Xenopus tropicalis: one gene and its partner. The protein of the gene in region 2 purifies or fractionates together with the protein of the main gene of each other region. This does not show direct contact. Links are inferred from orthologs where the notes say so. Each region holds a gene or a part of one and is shown on either strand. Other genes may lie near its edges.

Region 1 (6,080 bases), on a different chromosome or scaffold from region 2:
AGAAGAATAGAGTATAAGCAAACAAAAATAAAATTCAAGCTGGTGAATGCTGTCATACACACAAACAGCCACATATGCACTTGTACTGGAATTCATTGTTTACTAATGTTTTTGTACCTTGGACATGGAGATGCAGGTCACACTTTTAATAAATGTTTATTATTTCTCTTCAAATGCTGTTACAGAACCTAATAACAAAATGCACATATAAGCTGTATAAAGTGCATACAGACTATAGCATGCTAATTGACACATCTAATGTGTGTGTTACAGGTTTCATTTAGTGAGGCACATCAACGCATTCAAATATCGGTCAGTATACAGTTTTTATATGTTACATTTGGACACTATTGTGGCCATTAATTCCCAGCATACTTCAGCCATAGATTATAATTTTAAGGATGCACAAAGTTGTAGTCCAACAATATCTGAGGGCCTTAAATTCAAAAGCCAAGAATATACAGCTGGACTTTTAATTTAATGTTTTCTTGCACTTCATTCAGAGAGTAAATGAAATGTAATTGGATGCCATTTGGCATATGCATCATTATCCTTGCATGCCCGTTTTTACAATTTAATAAGATAGATACAGGTATGTTGGGGAGATTGGTTGAGATTTACCCACAGCTCATAAGCTGCCTTTTGCCAGAGGTATAGAAGATACAAGACCAACCAGTCCATTTCGGAGCTTGCTATTTTTATGCCAGCCGAGGTGGGTAGGAAAGACTATGGCTCACACAACTAGCTAGACCAAGTGTGCAGTCAAATGTTTACATCAGGGGTTCTCAAACTACAGCCCACGGACCGGATCTGCCCCCCGCTGCGTCCTCACCCCTGGCAGGGAGAGAGAGGACTCAGCGGGAAGCTGCAGGTTTGCTCATCACTATACAGTACAGAAGGTTATCCTTGAATGCAAGAAACAGATACCAGTGCAGATGCAAAGGAAACATAGATGCTTTAATACCAGAGCAGAAAAATTTAATATTGAGACAAAAAAATACAGGCCAAGAGGACAGCAGGGCAAGGTGCCACAAATGCATTCCATGAAAAAGGGTCCAACATGGAACACTGAAAAAAAAAAAGCAAATTACAGTGTGACAATGACAAGTATAGAGTTCTTTAAATGCAAATATATAGAAAATGGTTCATTCTGATCCTTCACAGAAACTAAATAAAACTATGCATAAAAAAGGCACCTGGAGGTCAATAATTTTTAGCTATCCCTTTAATTAAAAAAATAAACCAACCCAAATAATAGTGATACAGTCTGCTTAACAGCAAATGAATGTAACCCAAGGCTAATGGCACACTGGGTACATTACCTGCCAGAGTATTTTCACAGAAGCATTAAAACTACTCCTGTTGCTTCTTGCTACACTAGTACTGGTGCTTTTCAGCCCATGGATGTGCTATAAGTGTTTTCTTAAATGGGCCAATACCTCTACCTTAAAGGAATTTAGCATTCTAATAAACTGGAGCCGATAAATAGTTTTGTTTGCTTCTCAGCCAGCTAAATACCCATCAACGAAAAATACCTTGTACGCTGTTACCTAATTAAGATAAAGTTCTATGTTATAACAGCAATGTGTAACTACACTTACAAAAACCTACCCAACCCTAACTGCCTACTGCAAATGTGCCCCCAGTCACTAAAACTGGCCATACACTGCCAGAACCGCTTGTTTGGCAAGGTTGCCAGTGAGCAGAACTGGATCAAATTTGGCCACCTACAAGCCTAATAGCCTAAGCTGATCCGATTGTTGTACCAAGAAGCCAACAACTGAATGATACAAAGTGGCTCTACAGGCCCAATAGATGAGGACCACATTAAAGGACAAGTCAACCCAAAATATATATTTTTTTACTTCTATCAACTTACAATATACATTCATTACAAATCTGCAATGGGTTTTGACTTTGAGTAGTGTTTGCCAGTCCTTTTCTATTCTCTACCCTGGGGGCCCTAGCATTTGAAACAATGTAACACAAGGCAGCAGATTTTACAGACCTGTCTTACTAGAGGAGACTGATCTTTGCAACATTGTATAAAAAGTAGCATCCAGAAAATGCTGCTTTCAATAGAAAATACATTTACAAATAACTTTTAAAGCACTAAAAATGTTAAATAAATTCACACCTGAAAGTTGCTTGGAATTACGTTTTCTTTTATTAGGCAAAAATGTATTTTTGGGCTTGACATGTCCTTTAACATGACAGAATGAAAAATAAAACATTGGTGGATTTTGGCCAGATGTCAGACAGGACATCAGTGGGCCCCTTACATAGGCCAATAAGCACCAACTCAGTCTGCAAGGACTGAATTGTCAACTTCAGCCCATACATGCCCAGTTGGCTTTATTAACACAGTGGTTTTGTTTATTAGTCTGAGGTTTGGGGGACAAGGCAAATTCCTCATAGGCTGGGGATCTGTTCAAGGAAATAGCTTAAAGAGCATGAGATTATTCTTACTGCCATTTTTTTTACATGTATCTATAAAGTGCCAACATATTCCACAGCAATGTACAACAGAAGGGTGTATGTGGCAAACATGCACATATGATGAAGGGGGTAAATACAATTCAGTTTCACTGTTGTAATACTAAAGTGACTTCAGAGTTCAAGCCCCATGACAGAAATTTGATTCATACTAAAATAATAAGTGTTTAATTGCTCCACTTTATGGAATATACCACCAAACAAATGCACAAACTGACACAATTTAACATGAATGTACACAAGCCCCCATATGAAATATATATATATTATTCACTCATAAAATCGTTTAAGTAGGCACGCGTCAACCACACGAATATTAATCTTAAAGTGAGACTTTTTTCCCTCCATAATGTTGGGGGAAATTGTAGTTCGGCCTCTGGAGCCTTAGCGGAGCTCGGAACTACAGTTCCCAGGCAGGGGGCCCCTGGCACTGACGTCACTGCATTGCTTCCAGATGACGAGTGGGGGAAGGGAGCCGCCATTTTAGCTGCTCATTGTTTCCTGGTGCTTTAGCTCCGTCGCTATTCTATGTGGTTAACAACAACTATTAATAACTCTGCGTATATAAGATAGGTTTTTATAATACAAGCAGCCCTATAAAGGCCGGGAATTCCACAAAGCAGTTTCCAATGCAGCCCCAACTTCTGTCTCCCCTTTGAATTACTCACTGGTAATAAAGACGCTGCTCGCAGGCCAGCGGCATATAATCGGACGTAGAGGCGGCGGTGTCGATAAGCTGTCAAGTCGGTGTAAACAATGTTTTGTACGGAGCGTTCGTTTGAGCTGACTGAAGCCAGGACCCGGCGGCACCTCACCTCCCGCGCTCTAACCACCGAAAGAGGAAGGAGTGCGCAGAGCGGTACCGCCCCTGATTGGCCGTGACCGACAAAAGATTGCCATAGAGATCGTAAACCCGCCCCACTTCCTGTCTCATGATTGGTGGAAAAAAGAGCCGCTTTTTGAATCCCAGCAGGGAAGAAAAATCTTTTTTGTTTTCAGCGGAGCTGATGTGAATGGCTTTGCAACGCATTGTTACCGTACCGCTTGCTACTCCGTGCACACGTAATTATTACAAAGTTGAAACCGAAAAATAATCATTTTGCACACTGAGGTTTTATAGAAAGAGTTACTTTTTGCAAATGTTTATTTCTGAAAGGGTTACTGTCAATGTCTTCACGTAATTGCTCCTTTTTAACACCAAATTAAAGTTTTGTATGCATTTAAATATAATGTAGCTAGCCTGCGCTGGTAACTTGGGCTCAAAACCATGGGGGAAGCCGTTCTCTTAAACTTGGCCTGTATGACATGTATTAAATACTCCCCCACCCATTTTATGCGGGTACATGATTAGTCCAGTTGTAAATTAATGTTGTTAACATGGAGCAAGAGGGTTGTCTAATTTGTCCATTATTACTGTATATACTCGAGTATAAGCCTAGTTTTTTAGCACCCAAAATGTGCTGAGAAAGTCACCCTCGGCTTATACTCGAGTTGGCTGCCATCGGTCCCTCCAGACTAGCACCCTCTGTCCTTTGTGTGCAAATTAGGCCACCTGCAACCAGACCCTCCAGTGCCCTGTCCTGCTCCCAAATTCATCTTCATCTACCATCCTCACCTGTCCCATTCTGCACTAGGCATTGCACTTTATATTCTATATAAACTATATATAGTTTTGAAGGATTTTAACTCTTTGTGTTTTAGCTTGGTTGCTGATTGAGCTAAGGGGGTAGTACTCTTAAGGTATCATTGTTGATACAATATTGTTTTTGTTGATCCTCTTCTTCACTTACAGAGCTAGTTTATGGTTTTTCTTTGAAATAAATATTTAAAAACCTATACCCCACTGATGCCTCATTTTATGTAATTGTATTGGTATTTATTTTGATTATTGAAACTTGATACTCAAGTCAATACGTTTTTCCAGTTTTCTTAGGTAAAATTCGGTACCTCGGCTTATATTCGGATCGGCTTATACTTGAGTATATAAGGTATATTAAAGGGGAACTATCATAAATGGGGATCTGCTTAAAGGAACAGTAACACCAAAATATGAAAGTGTTTTAAAGTAATTAAAATGTAATGTAATCTTGCCCTGCACTGGTAAAACTGGTGTATTTGCTACAGAACGCTCCTATAGTCTATATAAATAAGCTGGAAAAAAGGAGAAAAGGCACAGGTTACATAGCAGATAGCAGATAAGCTCTGTAGAATACAATAACATTTTATCTGTTATCTGCTAAGTAACCTGTGCCTTTTTTTTATTCGAATGGCTGCCCCCATGGCTACACAGAAGCTTTGCTTATATAAACTATAATAGTCTTTCTGAGGCAAACACACTAGTTATACCAGTGCAGGGTAACAGTGCATCATATTGTAATTACTTTAATACACTTTCATATTTTGATGTTACTGTTCCTTTAACTTGGTCCAGTTCTGACAGGCAGAGCAGAGAGGAGTGGGAGAGTCCAATCATTTTTGACTGACATCTAAAGTTCAACCCCCACCTGCCCAACTTACTATCTGATAGAAAACCTGGAAAAGTTTTTAAAGAAGATGTGAAAATTCAGCCTAATTCAACGTTACATTGTCTGACACCTGTCTCACTCACCTGAGTCACTAACAACCACCTATAATATATGTCTCGGTTATTTGTGAGAAAAACATGAAAGAAACAACATATCACTTGCTTTTTTGAGCAGCAAGGTATTTACATGGGCTCAGCAATTTGAAACATACATGTCAAGTGAGCTGGCAGGTGATGATGGGAGTGTTACTTAAACAATAAATTTAGGGCAGGGGGCTCAAACTCAATTTACCTGGGGGCCGCAGGACGCAAAGTCAGGATGAGGCTGGGCTGCATAAGAGATTTCACAAAAAATTGGCTTTCAAGGGATAATGCAAGGCACGGCGGGCGGGAGCTGCTGATTGCGGAAATTACGTTATGCCATCATAACAGTTATTATGGGAAGACGTTCTGTGTGCACAATTAGCTCCTTAGCAGCTAATTGTGCACACAGAACGTCTTCCCATAATAACTGTTATGATGGCATAACGTAATTTCCGCAATCAGCAGCTCCCGCCCGCCGTGCCTTGCATTATCCCTTGAATCGCAATAAAAATCGCGATCCATTCATTGCTTTTGAGAAGGCGTTGGTGCGGGCCACAAAATACTGTACCGAGGGCCGCAAATGGCCCGCGGGCCGCGAGTTTGAGACCCCTGATTTAGGGCATTCACTTGCATATTGCCATAAAACTACAATTTGCCTTTTCTATAACTTTTAAATAAATGTTGTAGAAACAGTAACTCATGTGCAATAACATTTATATGTATACAAGCTAATCAATAACAGAATATATAGCCATTTCTTACAAATACATGGACTGGCTATAGCGGAGTAAATGCTACAGACTGACCAGGTGGGCCTGATTAGACTCAGCTGGCTAATCAATAAGCATGAAAGCCTGGCTAGTAAGTCTACAGGAGAGCTCTGACTGAGAGACATAGAGAGGTGCCTGTGAATCCAGCATACAGGAATCAATGTGCCTGTACACACACACACACACTGTTGCCTGTGCAGAGGTCT
Region 2 (5,300 bases):
TGGAATTCTGCAGCCGTTATGACTTCTGTCAGCTCCTCCATGTTAGCAGGCTTAATATCTACAATGTCTGGAAAGGCAGTTAAGGTTTTTCTAACAATCGAATAGAATTATGGGGGCTATGTAAGGATAGGCACTAAGTTGCCCAGGAGCAGTAGCCCATAGCAACCAATCAGCAGGAAGAATTTTCTGGTCACCTATTTAAAAGCAAACATCTTATTGGCTGCCATGGGTTACTGCTCCTGGGCAAACTTAGTGCCGTTTATTACACATGGGGGTAGAAAACAAAAAGACCAAAAGATGGGAGCAGAAAGCTCAGTTACACAATATAGTTCATGCTTAACTAGAACCATTTTGTGTCTAGGCTTGTATCCCATAGGATGAAAACTAGCAGGTACCTCTATAGCTGGCTATGAACATATAGTAGGCTCCATGCCCCGACATACAGTAGACTGCACTCCCCATAAAAATTAATTTCCCAATATGAAAATCCTTATATAAATTCACTGATAGTATGAGACAGTAATAATATAAAACATAACATATATTTAGCCCAACATCTAGGAAAAATAAACAGTAAGGAGAATCTCCAGGAATATATTTCTATTTGCCAGTGCCATACTGACGTAAATTTTTCAACGCTGATGGTAAGCAAAGGATACTAAAACTTCTATCTGTAATTTCTAAATGCCATAAATTAATTCTCAGGTCATCTGCTGAAAGGTAAGTTTCATGATCGCTATTTACGGAAATTGAGTTTATATGATATGTGTGCGCATTTGCAAATATCCGTCGTGGACTTGCTTCCACCATTAGGTCCATGGGTTTTAGGATTGGCACCTGAAATGAGAATACATGCAAAGTGGTTAAAGGGAACCTTGGCAAGAAATGAAGAAATAACAGCAAGAATAAAATGGGCACAATTGCTACAGCACATCTTGTAGCTGTAAACAAGGCTTGGTAAAGGCTCTACTACTATGGTCACTACACATCATAGGGCTCTACTACCAGTTCTCACAGTCAACTCCCTTCCACTTCAGCTTGTGTGCAGGCCTGTATTTGTATATAGGCACCCAAGGGCCTGTGCCTAGGGTGGCAGCCTTAGGGGAAAGGTCCTTGGTGCCTATATAATCAATTAAGTTAAAAGAATGAAAAAATAAAAACCCTCGCCAGTAGCCACCAGGGGAAATCTGTTGGGAGCTATGGGGGGGGGGGGGGGGAATTGCGCTGTCTGGGGGTGTAGTTATCTCCAGTACCTACAGGGGCACCAGAACTAAATACTTCCCTGCTCGCCCAGAATAGCCTATGCCCATAGATAATGTAGTGGCTGTACCCTTCTAATTATCTTTCTTCATAACTCTGTTTCCCCCAAAACTTACCCGTAAAGATGTAATTCTAAATGGATCCCGCAGCCTGCCGTCATCGTCCTTTAAGTTGTAGCCTTCAACTCGTTTGTCTCGCTCACTTATTTTCCACAATTTTATAGTTTTGTCTGCAGGGAAGATAAATTCCTTTCAGTGCATGAAAACAACCTTTGTACATGACTGCTTTCAGTAAGGTAACAGCGCACTCTTTCCAAACAATACTGTATCTATCAGGGCCATCACAATGTCACCTTGCAGGGAATTTCTATGGCTCTTGCCTCCTGCCCAAGGACAATATCTATATATCTGGGGTGAACAAAAATGCAATTGAGGACTTTCAGTTCTATCAGTTGCCGACGCTATAATATAAGGGGAAAATGATTTCTACTTTCTCAAGAAGCACCTTATTGTGGCTTCTCACAGGTTTCTACCCAAACATATAATATGATCAACCAATGCACGTCACCAAAATGGTTGGTTTGGCAGAGAAGCCAAAGGTGTATGGGTACTTATGGCAATAAGCTAAAATGAGAAGAGGAGAGCTAAGCACCAGCACTGTGTCAATTTAAATATAAAACCTTTATTTTCTCTCATTAAAAACATGAGGCTCCTGTTAGCGTCACAATGGGCCAACATATTTTGGGCAATCCCACCTGTAATCATAGGCTATTAGTCAAAACTGTATGTGACACTGCCGCAGGAGTCTGGAGCGGTGTTTTACTTATACAGACATGGGATGTTGTCTGGAAACCCATTATCCAGAAAGCTCCGAATTACAAGAAGGCCATCTCCTGTACACTCAATTTTAATCAAATAATTCTTATTTTTAAAACCGATATACTTTTTCTCTGTAATAATAAAACAGTACCTTGTACATGATTCCAACTAAAATATCATTATTCCTTACTGGAGGCAAAACAGTCCTACTGAGTTTTTTTCATGTTTAAATTATTTTAGTCTACCTAAAGAAGACACATAGGATAAAAAAAACCTGAAGTCTTGTGCAGTCACACAAGCAAAGGCAGGATTCAGTTTCCTATCAGGTCAGCCTAGCAGCTAATTGGTTCCTATCCTACAGTGCAGTGTACTGCCGCCCCCCCGGCACAGCCTGGGAAAGGATGCAGCAGGAAGCGAACAGATGGTGGGACTAGTGGAGTTTTTGGAGAAATTTTTAATAAATCAGCCAAAAACACTACTTTTTAAACAAATTCCTTCAATATTCATATGAGTACAATTTATTGGCACAATATTAATTGTCACATAATATGTCCCCTTTAAGATATGGAGATCCAAATTAAGGAAAGATTCCTTATCTGAATGAAAAGTTGATCCCCACCTGACCTTAACCCACCCACACCTGAACTGGTGAGCTACTGGTATTCATAGACTCACACTCGACCCATCCATCTCTGTGTGGGTGGGGAGAGGGCGCGAGACTATTAATACAGGCTGACTGAAGCAGAACTGGGGCATGGTAAGGTCACAGATCGGGGCTCTGGCCCCACAAAGAATGTGTGGATGTCAGCAGGAACCCTCTGGCCCACAGGTAAACCTACAGACTGTTCTGCCAGGTTTCAGGCCGGCCTGCACATCACTAGTCACCATGTAGTCAAACTGGACTATTTTCTGTCACCTAAGTTGACTAGTCAGATATCCTCTACATAGGTGTGGCTCATGTTAGAAGAATTGCTATAAATCAGTGTGCAAATTGCTGTTAGCAGGAAAAGCAGTTCACACCTAAACAAATTAAACATCAGAATTCACACACAATGTCCTATTTATAGAGAGCCATACAAACTATATTATGGCAGTATACAACTGCATGCCCAAACCCTATATTCTCCAGCTGCATAGGCTATAAAACTAATGTGGCCCTATCCACTAACAGCATCCAGGCATTTCATTTCTTCATTTTGACTACACCAGTGAAAACCAACTGCTTATTTTGAGCCACAAAATAAAAGCCACTGGGAGGGGGACCATGTATTGATCAAACCCATTTACTTACCATTGGTAGACAGTAGAAAGTGAGCAGCGTTCTGCTGGGGCAACCACCTAATTTTGTTAATTTTTTCTTCGATTTCTAGACTTTTTAAATAGTCAAATTCAGGTTCATGGCTTTGAAAAGTGCTGTAAACGTTATATTCACCCCTCGAATGAGGACGACTTTTATTCTAGAAAATAAAAGTGAAAACATTGAATACTCAAGTGCAATCTTAGGAGCCGTGCCTTGGGGAAGCAGAAGTGGGTGAGATTTGAGATTGATTTGAGATGAAAACATTTTCTACACCAGATATTCTTGGACCTTTGGCTAAATGACTGCAATATTTACATATAAAAGGGGTGTAAAAGGTATGGGGCAGCCCAGACCAAACGTCGGACGTCAAGGTGGGCTCGAAACAAAAGTCAGAAAAAATTCAAGTCATGGATTCCAGGAACTGCACACACTATATGGGGCCATACCAGTTCTTTGTAAAGGTGAAGAATTACCCTCTCACTGAATGAATCAATATATCTTAGAATAGAATACAATATATTTCTGGCCATTACTGCTGTACTTGCTACTTGTAGACTGCCAGAATAGCAGTAAATAATGCATATAGATAATTATATTATAAATAATGCTTATACATTTGGAAACAATGTACCTGATTAGTAGCCAACTACATGGAGCAGCTACAGCCATTCAAACAGGACAGATACAAGAGAAGCACTCAGGCTCCAGTAATCCAGATCAATAATAATATTTTCCCGAAATCCAATACTGACCTCTTGTTCCCTTTGGAATATAACAACTCTCCCGCCTTTGTCGCCTGTAGCTAGCAAATCTCCAGAACAATTGAACTCGACAGTTGAAATAATATCAGCTGTAAGAAAAAAAAAAATCACTTGATATTATATTCACATGTATGAAAGATCTGATACCTAAAAGGTAACATAGAAAATAGCACATACAGAATAAGTTACCTGGCAGGGCTGTTATGGGATTTTGCTGCATATGGAAATAGTTGTTACGGTGTCTCTTAGGTGTGTAATTATATGCTGGGGGTTGCTGTGCTACCCACAGGGAGGCATTTGGATTTAAGGGTATGTCTTAATAAAAAAACCCTTTTTTACATATGAGTGATGGGTGATATCCGTGCAGTGAGCACTATTTTTTTCTTTGGTGTGCGACACCATTAATGTGGGTATGGTCTTAAAAGTTCTTCTGATAATATGGGTGTGGCCTTAAAAAGGGAGTGGTCAAAACTGGCTTCCATTATCAGCCCTAGACCACATAGGCCAGAGAAATTCCAGCCCTCGGTACCTCAGAAGGTGGGCAGCACTGGCCTTAAGGTTAAAACAAACACTGGGGAAACCCCTTTCCACATATTAAGTACAAACCTCGTTTATTCTATGGCTCCTTTATATTTTTAAAAGACATCAACTTTTTATACATTGGGACCATCCCCTTGTCAGTTTCATCACCATGAACAAACTTGGCCAACCTTTCTTTCTTGTCAGAGATTTTGCAAACCCTTTACTGGCATCACAGCTCCTATCTGGGCCCCAAACTGTGGGTCCGATGCTACTACAAGGCACAGAGCAGTGGCAGAGGGAACCGGACTAAGGTCCAGTTAGGGTGGGATTTGGGTAATGACTACTTGTTCTCCTGGATACAGCAAAAACCCAAAACCAAAAAGGACCATTTAGGTTCAGGGATCCCCAACCTTTCTTACTCGTGAGTCACAAGCAAATGTAAAAAGACTTGGAGAGCAACACAAGCACCATAAAAGTTCATGGAGGAGCCAAATAAGGGCTAAGATTGGCTATTAGGCAGCCTCTATGCACACTATCAGCTTACAGGGGAATTTATTTGGTAGTAAATCTTGTTTTTATTCAACCAAAACTTGCCCCCAAGTCAGGAATTCAAAAATAACTACCTGGTTTGAGGGCACT

What was found. Proteins that work in one complex are often made in the same cells at the same time.
Region 1: the proteins of ppp2r2d (region 2) and cdca4 purify together in Homo sapiens (affinity purification with mass spectrometry; 3 studies listed by BioGRID and IntAct, counting the BioPlex papers as one, with this or other methods). This does not show direct contact. The link is inferred for Xenopus tropicalis from reciprocal best matches to the Homo sapiens genes PPP2R2D and CDCA4.

What each region holds. Positions count from the first base shown.
Region 1 is NC_030684.2:100,009,816-100,015,895, forward strand, and holds the start of cdca4 (cell division cycle-associated protein 4), read right to left. Parts: upstream 3,322-6,080; 5' UTR 3,165-3,321; intron 1-3,164. UniProt on the Homo sapiens protein: May participate in the regulation of cell proliferation through the E2F/RB pathway. May be involved in molecular regulation of hematopoietic stem cells and progenitor cell lineage commitment and differentiation.
Region 2 is NC_030683.2:21,324,223-21,329,522, forward strand, and holds part of ppp2r2d (serine/threonine-protein phosphatase 2A 55 kDa regulatory subunit B delta isoform), read right to left. Parts: intron 4,229-5,300; coding exon 4,131-4,228; intron 3,536-4,130; coding exon 3,370-3,535; intron 1,490-3,369; coding exon 1,377-1,489; intron 838-1,376; coding exon 660-837; intron 68-659; coding exon 1-67. UniProt on the Homo sapiens protein: Substrate-recognition subunit of protein phosphatase 2A (PP2A) that plays a key role in cell cycle by controlling mitosis entry and exit. Involved in chromosome clustering during late mitosis by mediating dephosphorylation of MKI67.